2 linked regions of the Drosophila melanogaster genome follow. The protein of the gene in region 2 interacts with the protein of the main gene of each other region in a biochemical or structural test. Each region holds a gene or a part of one and is shown on either strand. Other genes may lie near its edges.

Region 1 (12,291 bases), about 18 Mb from region 2:
CGAAAGTCAATCTTATAATTAAGTTGCTGCTAACAGTTGGCATGGGAATTCTCCAGTCCCTGCCACCCGAAAATACCACTGTGCAACCGCAACAAAAATGTATCTGTATGTGTATCTGTATCTGAGAAAACGATATCTGAGGGAACGATCGAAAAAAAAAGCTGAGACTAAAACAAAAGTCGGGCCGCTGTGAATCATTAATACGCTACGTGAGACGCTTATGGCCGGCACACGCCCACTATAAAAAGCCTGAAAAGCATGCTAATGGGTTCCGAATTCGATCAGGTTCTTTACGATATGGAGCATCGGCAGCGGCATCATCACTTGACCTTGTCCAGTGGCATTGGCGCCCATTGGCAATTGACTTCTCCATAATTCGACGCCCCAAGATGCATATGTGATTATTGGAGCGCGATATGGTTGCCATGAGCACGATTTCAGCTGGAGATTCACTTTGATTGCAGCGCTTACAGCGAAATTATGTCACATTAACTGTCCGTGGCACCAAAGACGCGGCTCTGTGGACACAACTAAACAATTGGCCAACAACTAACCAAGCTGGGCACCAAACGCATAAATATTTACATTAATAACACAGTACTAAGCGATCGACCGCACCCTAATGGCAGTGACATCAAAAAAAAAAAAAAGAGGAGAAATAAAAAGCAAAGAAAAGCGGGAAAGGGGAAAAGGTGGGTGAGCCAAAGGTGGGCGTGGTGGAAACCCGGAGGCAGCCACTGGAAAAGGAAAGTGCGTGACGTTTCTGGTTGGCTAAGTAGTCGTCAGATACAAGATCACTTAGAAGCGGATACTGGGAAAACAAATTCACATGAAGCCAACGATTAAAGTATACCATTACCAATTTCTTTACGAAGTATCTGAACCTAATTTGGTACCCAAAGATGTATCTAAACACAGACATATATCTCTTTTTTAATGTCAGTACTTAACATGAAATGCGACTGCATTTTCTAAGTGCATCCATGTCTGATGTGCATCTGACTAGCCTTATTAATGGCTCATTTGCCAGACGCTCATTGCAGCCATTTGTTAGCCCCAATGGGCACTCGAATGCAACTCACCAGTGCCACCTTGCCACTGACATCCTTCTCCTTGAGTCCCAGCGCGAATAGGTAATCCAACAGGTGCTTGAGAAAGACGGCCAGCAGGACCAGAGGCAGGAGGAGCAGAAAGACGATGACTTTCAGATTGAAGATGGCCCGGGTGGTCTCATCGTTGCGATGCGCCTGCGCGGCCGCCTGTGTCGCGGTGGGCGTGGCCGAGGCAGTGGGTCCTGTTACCGTTACTGCACCAGCCGGAACGGCGGTGGTGGTGCGGGTTATGGTCGTTGTCGTTGCCGTCTCCACCATCACTCACAGCTTGTTGCACCCACAATTGGCTAATATGTGATATGAGATATATGTATCTGTATCTCAAATATCTCTGTTTTTAGCCCAGAAATTTTCGCGGTCAAAGCAAATATGGCACTCGCGGCGACTCCAAAACAGCTGCAGCGCGTCGAAGATCAGGCAGCAGACTAAAAACGCCAACAAGCGACTGCGAATGCCAAACTACGTGTACAAGCTTTCGACTCTATAGCAGTATTTCCCCCCATTGAGTGAAGATCGCCAGCCGCTCGACGCTATCTGGTTTTCGTATCTACGAGCTGCAGATTTGAGTGGGCAGCGGTAGCACCTTTGAGTGGAAGCGCCGAGTCGCGAGTGAAGCTACTGCGTTTCACCTGACGTCTTAGCCCGGCTTTCTGTGGTTGTTTCCTTTTTTTGTTGTTTTTTATGTGTTTGGGCCATATTGTTTTCCCCACGCGCACAGTGGGAACTGCGGATGAAGATCGTAGCCGATAAGAGCCCAGCCGTGTTTGCTTTCCCTTTATCTGGTCCGTAAAGATGGGGTATCTGCCAGTTTAAAATGATAAACAACTGCTTGAATATAGTATGAGTCTTAATATCTTCCCGAAATAATTATGTAAATTATGAGTCACTGCCTCCCAGTGTGCGCCACTTTCGAATTGTCAACCTTTTGGCACCCGCCAATCAAAGAAACGTATTTAATTGGGCTTCTAAGGCGATTGCATCGCTTGGGAAAAGTGCACTGAAAAAAATATATACTGAAGTATATACAGCTGTGCTTATTCTGAGAAGTGGGTGATATTTAATTTTAGTGGATTTTATTTTTACAACTTTTGTTATCAGAATGACTTGTTTGGAAACCTCGAATAAATAATTAAACAAATTATGATACATTTATATTTGTTCTTTGTGCTTTAAGTATTACAGATATGTTTGCGTACTTTATTATTCTGTTACACAAAGCCGCATGTATGTTCCCAGTGCAGAAAGGTCTCTCGAACTCAACTCGTATCCAAAACCACTTTTCTGTGCGCTCGTCCAACGAGAATTGAGTGAGTTGCTCCGCTGGGTTTTGAGCACTTTGAACGACCCATTTTCGTGGTGCCAAACTGGTAGTGGAAGTGGCAGCCGGTCGAAGAAGGACAGGCCCCAAATGGAAGTGAGTGCATCCGCTTTGGCTGAATTTTTGGACACAGAGGCTATCATTCCGTTACGATTAGGGCGCACTTAATGCCCCTGCCCTAGGTCAATGAACAGCGATCGGTGGGCTAGAGTAAACATTTAGCTGCCGCATGTGGCAAAAGCTAAAGTCGCCTGCAGCTGCAGCGGCACAGTGTCAACATCTGGTGTTTGTTGCACTTTTTTGCATCCTCGCACATGTGCAACGCTGGCGCAACGCATGCGCCCTGCTTGAGGTTGTTTTTTTTTTTTTGAAAGCATAGAACTAAAACCAAAGACGTGCAGATACGGGTATAAATAAAGTATGTAAATGCGACGCAGCAATTTTGACATATTAGCAGCTAGCTAGCTGAGTTGCATCCTGAGTGCATTGACCGCACACAAGCCACACATGTCACATAGCATGTGCTCCACGGTGGGGGTACAGTAGGCTCTGGGCATTGGCGTACACCACGAGGATATGTTTGCAAAATATGACAACTCTTTAATAAATTCACTTTTGGCTTTTTTGTACAGAGTATGTTTGTTGTGGTAGACAAAAGTTACGTAGTCACATAGAACTGCAGTTAACAACAGTATACTATCAAAAATATAAAAATGTTTTCTTTTCGGCCATCGAACATGCCAAAAGGGGAATATCACCGTTAAACGCCTTACGAACAAGGACTAATACAAACTTAAGATACTAATAGCTATGTAGTATACCCCACAGATGCAACACATTTCAAAGGTATCTGATACCTGGGAGATTGTCGACCAGATCAGAAGTCATGGCAGCTCGTAGGCACGTTCTGAAAGGAAAGTTCGGTAAGTAAAGCTTAATCTCTTTGTCCTCCGATTCACTGCTTACTCTTAAGGCTCAGCAATTTGTTGGCATGGCGACGTAGATTCTCTTGGTTGGGATTGCGCAGGACTTCAGCCGCCGCCTCCTTAATCATGCCCTCGATGCTCTGCAGCAGCCATTCCTTATTGGGGCACGTAATAGCCAGACGGTAATCGCCATCCGGTGTCCGCGACACGTTCCACTCTGCGGCGGAGTCGTCGCAGTCTCGGCTATCATTGCTCTCCGTGTCCTCCGTCTTTATAGCAATGCACCGACGCACCTTGGACGGCTCATCTTCTTCGGCGGCTTCCGGCACGGACTTGCGCTTCTTGCTATTGAGCTGGCGTTCGTCTTGGATGCGATCCCGCTTGGGGCACGTACATATTTTAACATGTATAACATGCTGTCCCACGATATCGCCGCTGCAAGAAAGAAAACACGTTAAGCTTTGTTCTAGCCATCTAGAGTTTTGCTGTCACCTTACCATGCTTTCTCCAGGCAGAAGACTAAGGAAGTTTCTTTTCGCCCGATACACGAGTTTTGGCAGACGAACTTGAAGGCCAGGGTCTGGCGCGTGAGCCCACTGCGGGTTACAGACCGGCTCATGTTCAGGGGGACTACAACGGAAAAACGCTCGGAAATTCCCTTGCCCTGAGCATTTCCACAATATACACTGTTGGGATTCTCGCTGCGCAGCAAGCTCTCGCGCATTTTTGCGTTATTGGCCGTCACTAAAGGTTTGTACAAATGATAGTTAAATAATCCTGTTCGATCTGTATTGTTATCTTCACTTACAAGGCTCAACGCTAAGGTGATTTTGACAGCGGACCACGGGAGCACTCACATCATTGGAGAAGCAAAGGAACACACGCAAATTAAGTGGTTGGATGGGCATTTTAGACTTGAACTGAACGTCCACGTTGAAGGCCTTGTTCATCCGGATGTAGAGCTTGTTCAGCGGAATCGAGTACATCCAAAGAGACTTGGGCGGCTCATCCAGAACCATGCTGAAGCAATAACCACCGATGTTGTGATTCTCTAGCTTGGGCAGCGTGTTCGCCTGGATCTGAATGTCCTGCAGCATCATTTCGCGCAGCACGGATTGCTGTAAGCAAAAACAAGATATTATTTGAATGTCAACTTAACTCGCAATCATATAAGGGTTCACACTTTGCGCTCATAGAGCTGATAGAGCTTCATGTTCCAGCTTGCTCGAGTTACAAATGGACTGGCGATTTGTTTTGTATTCTATTCTATTTTTCACAAGTGCTTGAAATTCTCGCTAAACGATGACGACGGGAAGGAGTGCACCGTGCTAATCGGCTAGATAAGAGTGTTTTGTTCTGTCCTCCAACTGAAAGTGAACTTCGAAGCGACTTTGACGTCATGTCGCTCTTATGAAATTGCAGGCAGCGGCTGAGTCACGCAAGGAATGCCGCTTCCCTCACGCTTCTTATGCTCTTTTGTTTGTGGCTAGTAGTAGCACAACGCATGCTCAGTTGGTTTCTGGACGGCCGGTGAAATACATGCGTTTCGCGATGTGTCCCGATAGTGTCCGGCTACTTGACAGGTCCTCTAGATGGCATCAGTTGGGTAGTTGGAAAACAATTAAGCAGATATTAATGCTGTGGAAAGTGCGCTCACAGTTTGTATTAATTGTTCGAGAGAAATGGACTTCACCAGCGACTACGCGCATCGGCGTATGGTGAAATTTCTGACGATCATACTGATAGGCTTTATGACCGTCTTCGGACTCCTGGCCAATCGATATCGGGCGGGCCGTCGTGAAAGATTCCGCTTCTCAAAGGCAAATCTGGCCTTTGCTTCGCTGTGGGCAATTGCATTCAGCTTGGTTTACGGGCGGCAAATCTACAAGGAGTACCAGGAGGGTCAGATCAACCTGAAGGACGCCACCACTCTGTACAGCTATATGAACATTACGGTGGCTGTTATTAACTATGTGTCGCAAATGATAATCAGTGACCATGTGGCCAAGGTGTTGAGCAAAGTGCCCTTCTTTGATACCCTAAAAGAATTCCGTCTGGACAGCAGGTCGCTGTACATATCCATCGTTTTGGCTCTGGTCAAGACCGTGGCTTTTCCTCTAACAATTGAAGTGGCTTTCATACTGCAACAGAGGCGGCAGCATCCCGAGATGAGCTTGATCTGGACCTTGTACCGGCTGTTTCCCTTAATTATTTCGAATTTTCTCAATAACTGCTACTTTGGCGCAATGGTGGTGGTGAAGGAGATTCTGTACGCTCTGAACAGACGGCTGGAAGCGCAGCTGCAGGAGGTGAATCTGCTGCAGAGGAAGGACCAGCTAAAGTTGTACACTAAATACTACCGCATGCAGCGATTTTGCGCCTTGGCGGATGAACTCGACCAGCTGGCGTATCGCTATAGGTTGATATATGTGCATTCGGGAAAGTATCTGACCCCAATGTCCTTGTCCATGATTCTGTCGCTCATATGCCACCTGCTCGGAATAACGGTGGGTTTCTACAGTCTGTACTATGCCATAGCGGACACCTTAATCATGGGCAAGCCGTACGATGGTCTTGGATCGCTGATCAATCTGGTTTTCCTCTCCATCTCGCTGGCGGAGATCACATTGCTCACGCATTTGTGCAACCACCTATTGGTGGCCACCCGAAGATCGGCAGTCATTCTCCAGGAGATGAATCTCCAGCATGCGGACAGCCGCTACCGTCAGGCAGTCCACGGCTTTACTCTGCTGGTCACGGTGACCAAGTACCAAATTAAACCCTTGGGCTTGTACGAGCTGGACATGCGACTGATCAGCAATGTCTTCTCGGCGGTGGCCAGCTTCCTGCTGATCCTCGTGCAGGCCGATCTGTCCCAGCGCTTCAAGATGCAATAGCTAATCGATGTTACCCACCTGGCTGAACTGCATCAGATTCCCGGACTGCGGGGAATAATATTAAATAGTTAGTAAGCTATAGCTTTGCACATTAAAAGCACAACTCACGTTTAATCCCTGCAAGAAGGCCATGGGTTCCGTGGTCCTGGAATAATAAAAACAATAATAGTTAGCAACCAGGCAAACCACATGTGACCACGTGACCAGGTACTCACAATTCCGATCCCGATACCTCCACCGTTTTCGGAATATCCTCCTTGATATCGACCTCCGTGGAGTCATCCTCGGAATCAGTGCTAAAGTGTAAAAGGGAAATAAAAACTTAGTGGCAAACTGCGCCTTGGCTGGATAAACAAACACAAACAAGTTGGCCGCGCGAATGATGCAAGTACAAGCGTGTTGCTACATGCAAGGTTTCTACTGTTCGATCATCAATTTGTTGCCGCACTGTACCTTTCTTTGTGCCACGACATTGGCTGTGATATATACATCTTAGTCGGCTATATCTGATCAAGCGATCTTGTTGGGGAAGGAGGCTAAATATTAAAAATTCGCTAACAAAAAACTACAGAATCGTAGTGGCCACCGACTATTTGGATTTTGCCATTCGCCACGCAGCGCGAACAATCGCCGTAGCCAATGTTTATCGATTGGAGCGCGTGTTTTGAATTTGCTCACCCCTTGTGGCAGACGAATTTGTTGCATGCATTAATTTTGTTATTGCCATCGGAATTATTGTTGGCCAAAATTTCCAGATTGTTCGTGAACTGCATCATGTTGTTCGTGTTGTTGCCTCCGTAGGCTGGATCCACAGGCGTAGCCAGGTGGGCATATTCGTTGGATTCGTTGCCAAAACTCTGCGGCAAGTTGAAAGCTCCGTTGCTGGAGACCCGAACTGCTGACTCTGCAGAAACTTCGTTGCCGATATCCCAAAAATCCAGGAACTCCTTGAAAGCTTCAAAAATTGTGCGACTATTGCTACGCGAAACAATCGAAGTGTTTCTGCAAAAAGGCGCAACATTATTTTGTTGGGTAAGACCGAATAAAATATCTCCGCTCACTGGTTAAAAGTCAAGCTAAACGACGCGGACTTGTGAAGACTCATGGCTGTGCACTCAAATAAATAAATTTTATTTAGCAGTTGCGATTTGTGTCCGCAAGAATCTTCCGTGCTCCAGGGATGTCAACTAACCGGAAATTGGCTAACTTAATGTCATATATCCATGGCTATCGATAAGCTATCGATAAGGATTTGGCCGAGTGCGAACAGTGCTGCCCATTGTGCGGCAAGTTAGAATTTCTGTTTTGAAATTTTTTCAATACTTCAATCTATTTATTAGTTTGCAAATAACGCGCCGTATGCAGCAAATTGGTTTCACTGCACAGCCCTTTGAATGGTCGAGCAATGTACCGTATGATTTCTGGCTCCTACAAAAAATTAAGTTTTATTTAATGGTGAAATTCCAAATTTTAGTCAAACTAAATTTCAATTAAAACGCACGAATTATACAAAGCTTAGGCAGCTACGGCATACGGATATATTTACAATTCTAAAAATGTACATAAAGCGCTACTGGCACAAAAGTCTTTCTCTACAGCAGACATATGATAATGCAGCTCTAATATTTCTCAGTCGTCACTTCGCTCGGCGGCGGCGACTCATTTGTTCGATTTTGAACATCGGTCACGGTGGTGAGGTCAGAGCTCGAGGATTCCCTCGAATGCCTGGGGAGAAATGGAAAACAGCACAGCAATAATGATAAGTGTACAGTGGAGATGACATAATCGTAGATTAAGTATCATATTCACACAATGTTTCAATCACCTGTAAAACACATAGTGCTGCAGCATGAAGAACACATCGAAGAGCACGGAAAACAGACCCAGTCCGAATTTGGTGGGATCACCGAAAATCGACACCCAATCATCTGGAAACCAGACACGATTTCATTCGAAAATCACAAATTGATAGACTATATCCTACCGTAATTATGAGCATTCAGAATCATTTGCAGCATGCTCAGCGTTCCTCCCGTGAAATCCAGCAGAATGTTGCCGATGCTCCAGCCGGAGGTGCTCTTCCGGCGATAGTTCATCAGAGCTTGCGGCACGTACTTGATGATGGTAATGGTTAGCTTGACGTAACTGCAGTAGTACAGAAAGTCCAGCCAATGGATGACGGATCCTCCGGCCAAACCGGCAGACACGACGACCACCACGGCGAAGATGGCCAATATTCCGTAGGCAATGAACGACACCCTTTGCTGTGCTCTCTGGACAAATTTAACAAAGTATGGATGTTTTACAAGTCAAAACCTTATCTACTCTTCATATCGTAACTATCCGCTGTGATTCAAATGATTTGGCATTTTGATTGATGGCAATTAGTGTTCAATGCGACAACTGTTGCCACTTCGGCGATAAGGCTATTGAATGGTATTTGCTATATATATTATTACCTGATAGAAAAAGCACTGAAGGATCGTAATGCAGGTGGCGAACATGGCATGCAGTGAGAAGACCACGTCGTTGAGCATCACAGGATTCACTCCCAGCGGATATCGCACCTCGTACTCGTTCTGCAGATCCTCGATGAAATAGAGGCCGCAGTTGAACATGCTGTACAGGGTGAAGCCCACGATATTGAGGGCCAGGAAATCAAAGTTCAGTCCCTCGACGGACTTGCGGCGATAGTTGCTCCAGATCTGCGGATAGAAGGACACCGACCAGGCCACAAAGTAAACCCAGCCAAAGATGATGGAGGTGTAGATCAAAGCTCTCGATTTGGCCACAGTCACGCGTACGAACACATCCTTCACACTGGAAAATAAGTGAATTTTCCAATTAGGTACGGGAACAGTTGGGATTCCCGTGAAGTTACTCACATCTCTTTGTTCGCATCATCGCTATCTGCGACCACTTTGACGTTGCCGGCTTTGAGGCCAGTTATCACCACCGACTGATTTCGAGTACTGCCCGCTGGATACACAAACGTTGCGGGATCGAGGAGCAAATGATCCTCCGAATCTGTTCCCAGCGCAACTTCCACGTCGCTGTCTAGCAATCCGCTGTAATGGGCACAATAGATTTACGATGCCATATGTTTTGGATTTGGATTTCCCGGCAATGGCAACTCACTTGGCGAACACCAGAAAAGTCTCGTTGCTGTTCAGCAGAACGGTGATGTCATGGGAATCGACGGTGAGCTGACTGCTTTGGGCATTTCCCAGGGCAACTGTGGGCAGGAGAAATTCCCTCATTATTAGATCGCAATATCTGGATTGCGATATCTCACCTGTGGCCAGGAGGAGGAGCAGCAAAGTGGTCAGGCGGTGTGTGCTGAAATCCATTCTGCTTGCGTTCAACGTTCAACTTATTCATGCATGAGCATCCAGTCCTGCTGGCATCTTCTTCAATGAAGCCCTATATGGTATTGTATTGATTCAATTGTGAATTACTTCAATTGACCAATTGACCACGATCGGGTGAAATTGATATCTACTCGTAGGAGTATGGAATGCAATTCCTGACACCTTTTTTTTTTTTGCTTCTTAATTTAATGACCCGTGCAGACACTCAATCAATAAGGAATATAATATGATATAAAATGATATAAACATAAAACTATTTGTTCCAAAAAAAAAACTTGCAGTGCAAACTACGCACGCTCGCTTCATCTGGAATTCGTGTGTGTTTTTGTCGAGATAAAAGTCGGTAACCTTCATCAAATGTCGCTCAATGTTACAACTTTGCAATTGGAGCACACTTTCCCACGGCAAGCGTTGGAGCACCCATTTTATGTGCCTATATGGCCCAAATGGACGTAACAGGAAATACATGGGCTTTGTCGGTCGATCGTAAAACCAAAAGATTCCCGATTGTTCATACTATATTTTTTATATGGCGAGGGCCGTGACTTGGCGATTGCCAAGAAGTGTAAAACACCGCGTGAGAACGGGCTTATCTCAATCAATGGAGCTAGCTGATAGTGTCCGTCGAATTATTGCGGCAGTCTGCCACAAGTTGCAGATAATCAATAGATTGGGCAATGCACTGCGATTGCAATACTAATCGCAAGTCACGATCCAAATTTTGGTTCTACATAAATCAAAACTAATGAGAGTGGTAAACTACAAGGGTAATTTAAAGTTCGAACACCATATCTTTCACGATCGTTCACACGAATCTTCATGTTTCAACTGATATGCACCATAAGTTATTCACTAATTCTGTTTCAATTCTGGTGATAGATAAGACGATTGATTGGTAAAAAGGTCCATTGTTAGTTAACAGTAACACCCATTTATTCATTCATGATTCCACGCACGAGATACGCTTGTTGTGCGTCTGTTTGAGCCGGATTAGAACTTTCACTGGCATGTGGGCAAGCAGAGGCTTTTAGCCGCCAACTGCTAACGCAAAACATCTGTATAAGCCGCCGGATTATTGTGATTAAGATAATGCGGATTAGAACAGTTGTTTGCCTATGCTATATGCATGATCGCCACCCAACACATCAATTCACTCACGTTAAGAATGAAGTTAAATAATGTGTCCCAACTGACGATTGAGCGACTGCCGATGGCTACAAGTGGAATGGAATGCTATGATGATGGCTGCGATGGCGACTCTCCAGTGCGACTGAGTGCGCGATCCAATGGATCCGTTTAAATATTGGAGCGATGGAGTCGACGTCGACTGCGGCAGCGGCAGCGACGCACCAGCGGCAGCAGCAACAACAAGTGGGGCGAGAGCGGACCGCCGACGTATCTTGGCTTTTTATTATACATTATTTTTGCACTTGAGAACCCGGCGGCCGAAAAGGTGGGCACTTCAGTCGGGAACAGTTAAATATTTTGACAAGACGAGTAGTTCTCAAAACAAAAAAAAAAAAAACACTTTTTTTTCAAATTCAAATTTCAAAAAAAATATGCTAAAATGTATCTGTGGGATAAGCAATGAATGGAAATGTATCTACGGGATAAGCTATGAATTGAAATGTATCTGTAGGATAAGCTATGAATTGAAAAGTATCTGTGGGACAAACGAACTTGTATCTCACAGTACAAAGTAATCATACCAAACCCCTAAATATATATTATTAGTCAATAATATCCATCGAGTCATATTTTCTGTTTACTTATCAATTTAGCAAAAGATATGACAAATGTAATTACAATCTAAAACTCTCGTTTTATGTATCCTGTTTAATATGTTCAAAATATAATAAAACACAACTTTTGGCCTTTCCAATGCCGAATACTCCCCAGACTTCGAAAACTTCTTATCAGCAGTAGAAACTGTTTTTGAGGGACCTGCAGAAACAGTGACTATAAAGTTTTATAAGCATTCGATAAGAGGCGACTGAATGAATTATCAGGTTCGACTAAAAATAAGCATAGCCAAACGAAAACAAACATAAGATTCACTTTCTATTGGAGCGCTGTTTTTTTTTTTGCCAATACAGAATCGGCCACGATTCACTTGTGCCCAATGCATAATTTTTGCAAGCGAATCGAAAACTTGGCATGGAACTCGGAAATATGTGCCAAGCCAAGTCGAGTAAGACTTGGCCACCAACTGTTGCCCTTTATTTACACTTCGCGGCGCTGAATTTCCAAAACATCCGTCGATGAATCGGACTCCCAGGTTAAATACCTGTGGGGTTTCAGGTGGCACATCGATTACAATTGCGCTCGGCAGGTAAGATGATCAGTAAACCAGTTTAATTTTCTTTGCTCACATTACAAACAAACGCCAAGCTCAAATCACATTAAGGTTATATAGAACGTAGCACAATTCTACGTTTCATCAAGGCATTCGAACTGTCATGGATCTGCTTGGCTACCATCTCGTCTGGTTTCGTATAAGGCACTGATTTCGCGATGAGTCGATGGTTAAATAAGTTAAAGGTCGATTACAGGAGCACTATGATGTGCATATAGCTGCTGGCGAGTATGTGGTCTGAGTCAGTCGTCACCTGGTCACCGGGTCACTGGTTTTGGTTCTGGTTCTGGCCGGCGCGTCGATTCTTCTCG
Region 2 (11,453 bases):
TTGTTGGTATATTCACGTTGCCAAAAAGGTGCCTTTTGCGGATATGGCGCCTTTTTTTCCGCCAAATCTAAATTCATTTCACGGAGTATTGGGTTCTTTTGTTGTCAAAAGTCATTTTCCAAGTTTAAATATTTCCACGAACATAGCAAAAAACACATGGAAAGCCACTTTCATAAGGCGGCACAAGAAGCTGCTAGATTATTTCTAGAAAATGTGCTTGTGGACGCACAAATAAATAAATACCAAAACGTTATTCAGGAAAATAGAAAGATAATAACATCTATTATTTCCTATATTGTGTTTTGCGGATCCCGAGAAAATCACTACGGTGATGGAATTGTAGAGGACTTATTCAAGCTTAAAATCGACGCTGGAGACAATGTTTTAAAAAAGCATATGGAGCATGGAAAAGGAAATGCAAGCTATCGATCAGTTGAAATTCAAAATGAAATCATCAGCCTTTGTGGTGAAGTACTAAGAGAAAAAAAAAAAAAACGTTTATACAATTAGTATGCCTTCTTACTTTTTAGCGCTGCCTTCAGAATAGCATTTATTATGCGTCTCACGATAAATGCGAAATACTCGGCGATGCTGGAGCCGGTAGTCAACGTGCTTTAATCAACTACTTTGGATGCGGTCAAGGCCTATCAGCACATTAAACGCATAATACAACTGTTAAGAAGCCATCGAGATGATCCTGATAGTATAACGGATGAAGTATTAAGAGATGCAACAGTCGTTGCAGAGACAATTGTGTTGGAGGAGGATATAACATCACTTTCTCGTATATTTGGCAAGCAATGTCACCGAAAAAACCGTCCAGCTGAAAAAAGCTCAGAGTATTGGAGGAGGTCATTGTTTATTTCTTACTTGGAATCAATTATTAGCTCACTAGATAATCGGTTTTCCGATGAGAATAATGTATCATTTTTTTTATTCTATTTACATCCGGCAAAAATGCAAATAATGTCAGCAGACTCACTTATCAAAAGTAGTTTTACGATTTACCCAGCCTTCAAAATATAAGGAAACAAATGTATCTGAAATGACTGTTCTTGATACGATTCAGCACGCAAATGAATTAAATCCCGATATTCAAAGAGTTCTGAAGATGTTAATCGCTTTACCGTGTAGAACTTGTTCAGTTGAGAGGTCATTTAGCAGCTCAAGACGTATAAGGACTTGGCTGCGAAGAACAATGGTAGAAAGTCGTCTTAATGGACTGGCTTTGATGAGTGTTCGCCAACGACTAATTATGGACGATTTGGATGAATTCAATAACAGAGTTTTAAAAGAATTAAAAAAAAAACCCGGAAAGTATCGCTTTATTATGCACAGATGTCATATACACCATAAATCTGATAAATTCGAAAATATCTTAACCAAATTATGCCTCATGACATCGGGTTATCCAACGTTCGGGGTAGTCGAGGACAACTTCCACATATTTTTAAAATTATAATTCTACTATCTGACAAACCAAAACAGCTTTTTAGCAAATCAATAGAAATTTACAAGACTAATACAAATGTGAAAAAATATCAATACGTTTTTTAAAAGTGTGGGCGTGGCAATTTTGTAGGCGTGGCAACATGGGTCAACAAACTTGCGCTGCGTCTTTGTCTCTAGAATCTGTATGCTGAATCTCAACCTTCTAGCTTTTATAGTTCCTGAGATCTCGACGTTTATACGGGCAGACTGATATGGCTGGACTTACTTGATGATATAGTCGGAAACGCTTCCTCCATTTTCACTCTACGAGTAATGGGTATAAAAACGAATTAAAATAATTGTAAAAATCGAGAATAGTCACAAACTTCGTGTTTTCAACTACCCTAAACGCCTGATTAAAACAGTTATCTTTGCATATGTACATATTTATTTACGAATGTCGGGACGGCGCGAACGCCATTCCCGGCTAACAAAAATTACACGCACGAGTTATTCACATTAGGAATAATCGCAGAGGTCAACTCAGCCGAGGTACAATGGCCAAGCCTCACTCCGGAGGAACCGCCTTCGTGATCACGGTTAACCTCTACGCCAGGTAAGTATGCTTTGCTTAGCTCGGCATAGGAATTTCCATGAGGGCGCAACTAGAACTAGTTGGGAATTATTGTGGTGGGTATGAACAAAATCCCAACACTGACTTTTCTAGTGTGTTTGACTGCAGTCAGATGTAAAGCAATTTTAACACAAACTAAAATCAATTCGCTGAAGTGAATATGTAACTTGGTCCTGTACTCTGACTTTGAAACCGTGCCTGTTCACCAAATCTTTTATAAAATTAGTTGTTGAGCTTTTACTCTGAATATATAAATTTATTTATACACAGTATTATTGAAAATAAGTCCTGTTGTATTATCATAAACTTGGAGAATTATAATTCAATGGAATTTAAGGCGCACAATTTATAAATAACGGTTTGATTTTATTTTGTTTTCTTATTTTTCGGAAGAATTTTAAAATCTGCCCATGCACTCCCACTACCTGCGTGACGGATGATGATGTCGTAATGCTTCTTTTTAATTGGTTGGTACGAATTTAGGAGCACACTATAGTTGACATTTTCTTGGCAGCACTGTCACTTTCCTCCTAATTACAATTGACTTTTGGACAATTGATTTGGAGCAACCATTTTAGCTCCAACTCGACATGTTGTAAGGGGAGTATAAAATAGTTCCGTTAAAATTTAATTTAAACAAGGTGTACTCGTGTTACTTTCATTTATTGATATTGGAAATCTTAACTTTATTAATAATAATAATGTTAATTACAGTAAGGTAATTTGAAATTCCACATTGTCTGAATCGGTTGCTAATCCTCATTCTTTGATTTACTATTACTGTGAATTGAATTGGGTTACTGTCTCCTCTGCTTTAGTTGGTTCATAGTTAATAAAACAATATGCTGCTATATGGTAATTTTATCATATATATGGTTAACATGATGCTCAGAGCATCCAACACAAAGTGCCAAAAAGTGGAGGGTTTATAGCAAAAGGTACAGCAATTCGCATTCAACAAAAAACATGAATAAAAGTCGATTGTAAACGCTTAAGAACTAACTAAATCAATTGCCGCAGCCAAGACACAGTGGAACCTAGAGAGTACATAGCGTGGCAAATGGCAGTTAGGAGATGTTTTCATCCCACTTTACACTGAAAAAAGACCCCGCTCAAATCTCTTCTTGGGCCATCATAGCTGACCAAATCAGGGTGTAAACTTGAATGAGGCCAAGGATAAGATCTTAGAGATAGGGTAAAAGTAAAGCGTCGGTCAGCCACCAAAATTATCGGGCAAAATACATAGAGCATTGGTCAATGGAAGCTACCGAGGAATACATGCATATATATTTGCTTGCTTGTTCCCAACTTGGAGACTTGTACCATGTCACATACCGTGTGGATTGGTTTACATTGCTAAAAACTAACATTTAATTATCAATTTCTAGTAATTTCACAATTTGTAGCCAATAAACTTATAATTCGATCTAGGTAGCATGTGTATGTTTATGTTGGGGTTTGGTAGATACATATAGTTCACATAAATGACGACACTGGACAATTGTTTACTAGGTTTTCAAGCGGATTCAAAATGTATGTTTCTTGTGTACGTGTTTGCTGAGCCACGAACTACTACAAATATTAATTTTCGTTTAGGCATTGGTTGAGTTTAGTTTTACAGGACTGGGTTTGCGCGCATCTAAAATGAAACTATTTGACATTGCAATCGCTTGAAATGGTTTTTATAATTTTTGTTTTATTATTAAACATTATTGCCGCTGCTTTTTTAAATTAGAACATTTGAGTTTTTAGCTTATAAGAGTCTTATTTCTGGCTGCCGGCGCAACTAGCGGCTGCATCCATAGAGGACTTCCTAATTTTTTAAGTGAATTGCGTCTGCCTTCGGGATCGGGTGATCGGGCTGGGGACAAGGTGTAACTATTGGCCAAACAAATATAACTCAAAACTGCCCAGTATTTATGGGTTGCGAATTGTGTGCGCAGGGTGTATATATGCTGCTGTGCCGTGCCGTTGGCGGTGTTACAATTTCATAGCATTACAATTATCATAAATATTTCTGTTATTATTTAATTTAAACTTCTTTATGGTATTGCATATTTCTGTTACTGTAGTTTGCTGATGCTTTAAGCTGCGGTCGCCTACTAAACTGCTGCCGCTCGTTTTGTGGCTCCGGCTCCTGATGCTGCTGCTGTTCCTAAAGTGGGCGCATGGCTAATCGATGAAACTCTGCTCAACGCAGGCTTTCACACGCTTCTCGTACTCGCGCCGATTTTCTTTATACAGCTGGGCGGCGGTGGAGTTAGCCGGTGAGTTGGGATTGGGATCGCTCAGCAGTGACTGGAAATCAGAAGCATACACATTAAGCTATAGCTACTGGATCCAGAAGCAGAGTAACTCACCTGTATGGATGTTAATATGGCTGACACATCGTACGTGGGACTCCAGCGGTTCTGCAATATGTCCAAGCATATTCCACCATCTGCGTATACATTGGGATGAAATACTTTCGATACAAATCGAACCGTTGGCGGTTTGTTTGGGTACTCTTCCGTAAATTCTATGGTTAACTTAAATGTTCCGTCTTCGAAGGGTGTGTCGTGTGGACCAAAAATCACAGCATTCCATATCATAATATTATTATCTGTTGGAGCACCCGAGACACCCGTAGGTGGATCCTCTTGAAGTCTGCAGGTAAGTATCAAATTAAAGTGTTGTAAATAAATAAGTTAATGCATATTTGTTTACACAAATATACTATTTATTGTATAAATTCCAATTGAGGCGAAAATAAAAAACTCTACCTTAACATTTGCCGACTAGGTTGCAATGTAAAGCTAATAATTATTTTTTATCTTCTTGTTGTAATTGTCTTTAGTTAATGATCTTACGAACAATGTGCTTGAAACGTAAGTCTTTAATCGTCGCAAGAGTTGACGGTCCCGTGGACACCAAATTCTGCCTATTTGTATACATATTCCGCAACACAGAAGAAACCAAAAGCAACGGTCAGACATAGAGTGATGAAAAACAATCTAAAAGTTACCTGGCCGGGATTGGCTGCGATTTAGGTCAGCTAGCGGGCGGCGCAACCCGGTTAACCGCGCCCTTCAATCGGCTTAAATCGATACACGGGCCAAGTGAAATCATCGATTAAACAAGCTAAGAAACGCGACAGTGCACTGGGAAATAAGATATGCAATATCCAAGTCTGAAGCATATTTTGAAATTTATGAACTTGAAAGGTCAATTTTGGGCGGTAATACGAGCTATTAAAATAACTTGTTGAAAATGTTCATAATTTATTTATAGGTATCCAATGATGTGTAACAGGTATTTTCTAATGAACTCTTATCAAAAACTAGACTTCTAAAATGGAGTCAGTTTCGATTCGCATTACGATTTGAATATTGCATTCCTGATGAAACATTTTCGCAAAACAGAATTTGTGTTTCTCAAACTAATCAGTCCCGAGTACTCAATAACTATACTAGATTCGGACCCCACAAAGTATAAAATTGACGATGTTATTTTTTATTTTAGTTTCGAAATTTCCACTTCGAACTCGTTCTAGCTGAGTAAGGGGTATCTGATGTATGCTGTCAGATATGCTTCTGTGCAGTTGCTCTGCCTCTTGGGGTGGTACATTGGAACTTTGCCGGGGGGCAGGAGCCCGCGCCCACGCAAACAGCCTTGACATTTGGTTTCGTATTCCTCAACTGCAATCTGCACTGCAGCGCCAACTTTCGGGATGATGAAAGTTTCGAAGCCGAATGAAATTCCAATAGGAGCGCTTCGTCTCTTTCGCGTGAGTCAACAAGGCTGAGTGCGAGCGAGAGGGGGTAGCGGGCAGGATGCAGCTGCCGAGTCAGGCGGATAGAAACGTTAATGTTTTGCTGCGACGCAATTTCGGCAACGGCGGAAGAAGAATGTTGTTTGGTTTTCCCAATTTTCCCCTTTGTTTTCTTGCTTTTACCCCGCACCGCGCGCGAACACACACACATTCAGATCAAAGTCAAGTGTCAAAGACAAGCGAATTGTTGTTTTTCGCACGAGCAAAGCAGCGAAAATAATCAACCACTCACACACGCACACGCACACGAGCATGGGCACATGCACACGTACATATTTTGGCTGCGCAAACTTTTCCACTACATACAGACGTGGAGCACAGTCATATATACGTGTGTCCGTGTGTTTGCTTATATGTATTGGGCAGCCCCCAGGTTTCTTTTCCCCAGCATTTTTTCGGAACGAGAAACACGTAAAACGTAAAATCCAACGGTTGTGTGTACTTTGCCATTCGCTCCTTGCCTTCCTGTTTTCCTTTGCTTTCGTTTTGTTTGTATTCTTTTCTATTCGCATTCGATTCCTTAGTTTCTTCTCACCTTTTAAAATCTCTCATAAGACGTCTGCGTGCGGGTGTTGACATTTTTCACAGCGATACTACCACTCGTGTTGTGTTGGATTTGGAACTCGGACGCCTGGGCAATGCGTTGCGTTTAGCGAACGGTAACGATGAAATTTTGTAATTTATTTTTAATTGAGGGCAAACTCGGGCAGCAGTGGTATAGAGCTGGAACGAAAACCGATGTTTCCCCGATACTATCACGTAGAGCTGGAGCTCAAATCAATTTCGTTGCACAGAGCTGCCACCCAGCCAGCATTGAGCGTAAATATGAGTTGCCAGAGGTTGCCAGACCATTCAAAATACGTTTCCTATTGATGTTTTTTACGAATAGGAGTTTTCGAAGTGTAAGTTTAACACTGCAGAAAACTGATCGAAGTATTTGTAAACCAAAATTAATTTGAACTTTAGACAACCTGGGTCCGATTGCAGAAAAATTTTACAATTGAGCGACATGGCAAAAACAAGAGGTATTCCTCTAAAACAGGTGACTCAAGAAAAATAAGAATTCTATTGAATGTCTCCCTTTCTTTCGTCCTTGCTAAAAAAGCTAGTTACGTTTTATCATATTAAATATTAGTATAAGCAAACATAATTTTATGGTAGTTCCAATAATATTTATAAACTGAAACTACTAAAAATGAAATGAAAATCAAAACACCAGTTTTGTACCAAAGTTATGATATCTAAGAAAAGCAAGATAAAGCTTGACTATCAGATACCCGTTAATCCAACTTGGATTGCGAGGAGATGAAGATTTAGAAGCCGGAAAGCGACTCTTGACCAAATCGGCCAAAAATTTTATTGTGGGCGCGGCATACCGATACAAATCTGCAAGACTTACATACATACATATAATAAAGAAATAATCCAAACGTTTTTCAAAATCGTAATAGTTATGGGCGGCTTGTGGCCAAGCAGCTTAGCTGCTCCCGTTGATACTAAGAAACGGGTATCTGGTAGTCGGGAAACTCTCCCAACAACGATAATCAAGACATAATTTCCTTTGACGCATTCAATTTCAAATCTATTTGCGTAAATTTCTAAAATTTATTATTGAATATTTAGGGACTAATTATAACAAATCGAGTGTATCACAAGCTTAGATTTAGCCTAACTACAGTTAGCAAGATTATTAGACGGGGAAAAGCTCGCTGTAGGTGAAGTTCTCAAGGATTTTGGTCGTGATGACCAGAAACTTGGCCTCCAGGGCGCGGGCAATCGGTGCGATCAAGTCGTTGGTGAAGACCTCGAAGTTTTGGTTGATCGTATCATTGATGACATCGCCCAGAACCTTGTCTCCGTTGAAGAGGTTCTCCAGCTTCAGGTTTCCCTTGCCAGTGCGGATCTTCAGGACGAACTCCTTGACATGCAGGTATTCCAGATCATTAACACTCTTAATGTCGTACTGGACGCGCACATAAGCCACAAAGTTGGTGAAGTTTCCAGTGAACGGCCCATTGCCCTTGATCGGCAGTGCCAAAATATTGCCGTTGATCTCGTAGAGCCCATCGCCATGGAGATGGGGCAGAATCAACTCGAAGTCAAAGCGTCGGTTTTGGGTGGAAGCCCGCAGCTTGGTGATCTCAAAGTTGGAGGCGCCCAGGATGTTCAGCTTCTTGGCTTTTACCGTGAGCCCGGCGGATCCATCCAGAATGCTCAGATCTCCAATGTAGAGGGGCTCTAGCGGCGGTACGTTCAGTTCCTTAATGCCCTTGGCCAGATAGGGTCGCAAGTTGTGAACACTGCTCTTCAGGCACTTCGACAGTTCGGGATCGTTGCGATGGCACACCTGGATATAGTCAGCTGAAGAACAAGCTTGATAAGTATACTGGACTATAGTGAACTGTCTTCGTTACTTACGCATATTGCCAGCTGAGATGCATGCTACAAAACAGATCAACAGGGAGGCTACGATGAGTTGGAACTGCATTTTGCGTGTAAGTTTCAATTGGTTTCTGTAAAAAACAGTTTATTTACTATTAGGCAGAAATATACATTTTATTGACGTCAAAGTTCGTCAGCAGGGGCAGCATTAACCACCAGGCCCACCCCTAAAATGATCCACCACCCATACGAGTATCTATTATCATCCGAAGTGGTTGATTGTAGGCATTACGCAGCTGCGACTCAGTCTAATAAATGGGAGGATCTCTAGACTGCTCAATTACTGTCATTTGCTACCTGTTTTGTTGTCAAGACTGTAATTGATTTTGATTGCGGCTTAATAGTCTTTGCGATCGAGCGTAGGGCTGGTTATAAATAATGCAAAGGAGTACTTTAGGTATTGAACTGGAATGCATTTGGTAAAGCACAATAATACAATAAACTGGGTCAATTTGCTCTAATGAAAACATTTTTAATTGCTCGATCTGGGTTCCTTGAATAAATTAAAACTAAAATAGACACCTATGTGTAAGGAATTATTGTAAATTAAGAACGGAACAACGAGTTGATAACTAAAGGAAAACAATTTTTGTCGTAAATAAAAAACATGTAAAAAAAATGTATTCAAATTAAATTCGGTTTAGACTCAATCCTTAAAGGATTTGCTAAATGGTTTACCCAATTAGGGACAAGGGATGATTTCGCGTTCCCGAGATCTAGAGGATTCGCCAGCCGACTTACACAAAAACTTAAAATTACACAATTTAGAAGAGTTTTCAATTGTATTCGCAATTATTTGTTTTGGCACCGATTTGTTATCTTTTTCCAAATAGTCGAAGGCTTCTCAACGTTCTCGAGCTGTCGAAGTCAGGTGTTGTTTTAGTAACCGCCAACGGATCGTACTGAATGCTAAATTGTTAAGACCGGCGTGTTTTATAGCAAAACTGACGCTACGATTTACATGAGAGCTTGGGCAAGCTGTGGACTCCAAAACACACGACGTAGAACTCGCACGCCCCTGCCACGCCCCCTCCCCCAGAAATCGCCTGGTAAGCTCGAGCAACTAGAAAGAGATGGACAGCTGAGAGCGAGAGGGAGAGAGAGAGAGAGAGAGCTACTGAGGGCGAGCAAGACGCTAAGCAGCTACTATTTAATAATTGTAATAAAGGTTGTGGGTTCCATTACCGTATTTCGGCGACCAACCCAAGCACAAACGCTTACGGAGTCAGTCGAGCGGGAAAATTGCCAGTTGGTCGGGAAAATGCAGACCGCAGGTCAAACCGGAAATTGAGACCCGAAGTGGATCTCCCAGAATCGGCACTGGGAAATTGAGGGTGCAAGTCGCTACTTCGTACTATGACGCTATGAATAACTGAGTCTTCTGAGAATGTATTCAACTTCTTTAGGCTCCTCCAACGTATTTCGATTCGAAATGGGTACTGGCCAAATGAGGGCTTCAGCCTTCATACTACTCCTACATGCAACTTAAGCTTGCCTGGCAGAGCGGAGCATACACATGTGTTGAATGCAGCATATGAGGCCGAACTAAACAAAACTCTCGACCTTTTCAAAGGGGTTTTCTTCCGAGTGTGGGGTCGGTAGTTAGCGAGGGTCAGAACGTGCGGTTGTTAAGCTCCCCACCAAAACCAGGGGCAGGCACGGGGCCAGGAAGATCGTTCTAGTCGCTACCGTGCCCGGCGTAATTACGCCACGCGAACATCTTAGATGGGGAGTCGTGTGTTGACAACCTGTTAACTCTGAAAATTGTGCTGACGGATTGCATAATGGCGATCGCCGGGCGAAAAGCTTTCCCTGTCTTCAGATCAGCGAAGATTCAGAAAGCTGTGGCTGGTTGCCTATGACACGGTTCGATGAGGATGCTGATTGCGGTGCAAAATTGGCGAAGAGCACGCAACTCGGTAGCCAGCCAAAGATCATCTTCCAGCCTCATCCCAGTGATACTCGTAGCTGCGTTAGATAAGTGAGGAGTGCTGAGATGTTTGTTACTCATTCATAGTTTATTATTCAATCGGATGTGGTAAGCTTCGCGTTGGGCATAGAGATTTGTTCTGCCGGGCATTTGGGTATTCATCGCGCACGTGTAGGCGTTTTGATGGATAATCGAGGGGGAGTGTGTGTTAAGCCGTTTGCATAACACTTATATCCAAAAGGAGGAATATTGAGAATACATTCGTGGTTAGCCAGAGGCAAGGAGATTGCTTAAAGACGGGAACATAAAATATTGAAAAGGAAGTTATAATGTAATTATGTCCACCACTGTTCAGTTGTGAGCACCTGAGTACCTCGACCATCAAGGGATGGAGGCATGTTTTTTTTCCACTTTTTAAAGAATGATAACATTTGACGTGCAGACAAATACTAGTAAGCTAAACCATATCCCATGTATGCTAATACAACATAGTTACTCCTCAAGTAACAGGCATTTAAAACCATCAAGACCACATCCTGTTTCATTCGAATCTTTTACCAAGATTCCTCATTCAATCATTCAAAGACCTTGAACTAGCGTTGAAAGCCTAAGCATGCGAAGGCAGTTAAGGTGCACATTATAATAACTCGTATCCCCCTGTCATTGCAGTATTGATGGGCCGAATGAGCCATTCAAAGTAAGAGCCATCGTCGATTTACTTGGTATATTTCGCGGAACTGTGTGCAATAAATAAGGTCTTAGACTAGAGAAACTACATTCTAATTCAGGTTGATCCACTCGTCCAGCGGAATCTTGGCGAATATGCGATCCATGAAGTTGCGGATGACCAGAGTGAGTTTGGTCCTGAGCGCCGGCTTCATTTCCTTGAGCAGCTCCTGGGAGTTGGAGTTGATGAACAGATTGAGAGCAGCCTCTGTGGAGGACAGTACTATGTGACGATAACAATACAAAACATAGTATTTCGACTACTACTACGTACGTATCACTGTGTTGCCATTGGCGATGTTGTCCACACCCATTTGGATCTCCTTCACGTTGAAGTCCATCTTGACGGAGTCCGTCGTCAGGTAGGTGCGACCGTCGGGACCCTCATTGGCCACCGCCTTGAAGTAGATCTTGGCCTTAACTCCCTCTGCGTGATCGAGAGTCATTAGCAGTGCGTCATCCCAGCCCAGAAACCCGGT

What was found.
Region 1: the proteins of Ubc6 (region 2) and p53 form a complex in vitro, tested with the Drosophila melanogaster proteins (one study listed by BioGRID).

What each region holds. Positions count from the first base shown.
Region 1 is NT_033777.3:23,046,651-23,058,941, forward strand, and holds p53 (p53), read right to left. Parts: upstream 7,433-12,291; 5' UTR 7,359-7,432; coding exon 7,315-7,358; exon of another isoform or gene 7,256-7,314; coding exon 6,932-7,255; exon of another isoform or gene 6,745-6,931; coding exon of another isoform or gene 6,707-6,744; exon of another isoform or gene 6,550-6,706; coding exon 6,469-6,549; exon of another isoform or gene 6,399-6,468; coding exon 6,362-6,398; exon of another isoform or gene 6,299-6,361; coding exon 6,272-6,298; exon of another isoform or gene 6,266-6,271; intron 6,254-6,265; coding exon of another isoform or gene 5,039-6,253; intron 4,581-5,038; exon of another isoform or gene 4,570-4,580; coding exon of another isoform or gene 4,540-4,569; intron 4,475-4,539; coding exon 4,165-4,474; intron 4,101-4,164; coding exon 3,854-4,100; intron 3,792-3,853; coding exon 3,397-3,791; intron 3,338-3,396; coding exon 3,315-3,337; 3' UTR 3,007-3,314; downstream 1-3,006. Other genes in the region: CG17121 (uncharacterized protein), read right to left, coding at 1,083-1,370; Gr94a (gustatory receptor 94a), read left to right, coding at 5,039-6,253; Ctns (cystinosin), read right to left, coding at 7,873-7,978, 8,079-8,181, 8,238-8,526, 8,713-9,073, 9,139-9,321, 9,392-9,488, 9,549-9,603; sav (salvador), read right to left, coding at 12,246-12,291.
Region 2 is NT_033777.3:4,946,042-4,957,494, forward strand, and holds Ubc6 (ubiquitin conjugating enzyme 6), read right to left. Parts: upstream 6,642-11,453; 5' UTR 6,456-6,641; coding exon 6,412-6,455; intron 4,712-6,411; coding exon 4,426-4,711; intron 4,364-4,425; coding exon 4,238-4,363; 3' UTR 2,714-4,237; downstream 1-2,713. Other genes in the region: Jhbp3 (juvenile hormone binding protein 3), read right to left, coding at 7,567-8,237, 8,295-8,364; Jhbp2 (juvenile hormone binding protein 2), read right to left, coding at 11,028-11,197, 11,249-11,401. UniProt on the Drosophila melanogaster protein: E2 ubiquitin-conjugating enzyme that accepts ubiquitin from the ubiquitin-activating enzyme E1 and transfers it to a E3 ubiquitin-protein ligase. Required for postreplication repair of UV-damaged DNA.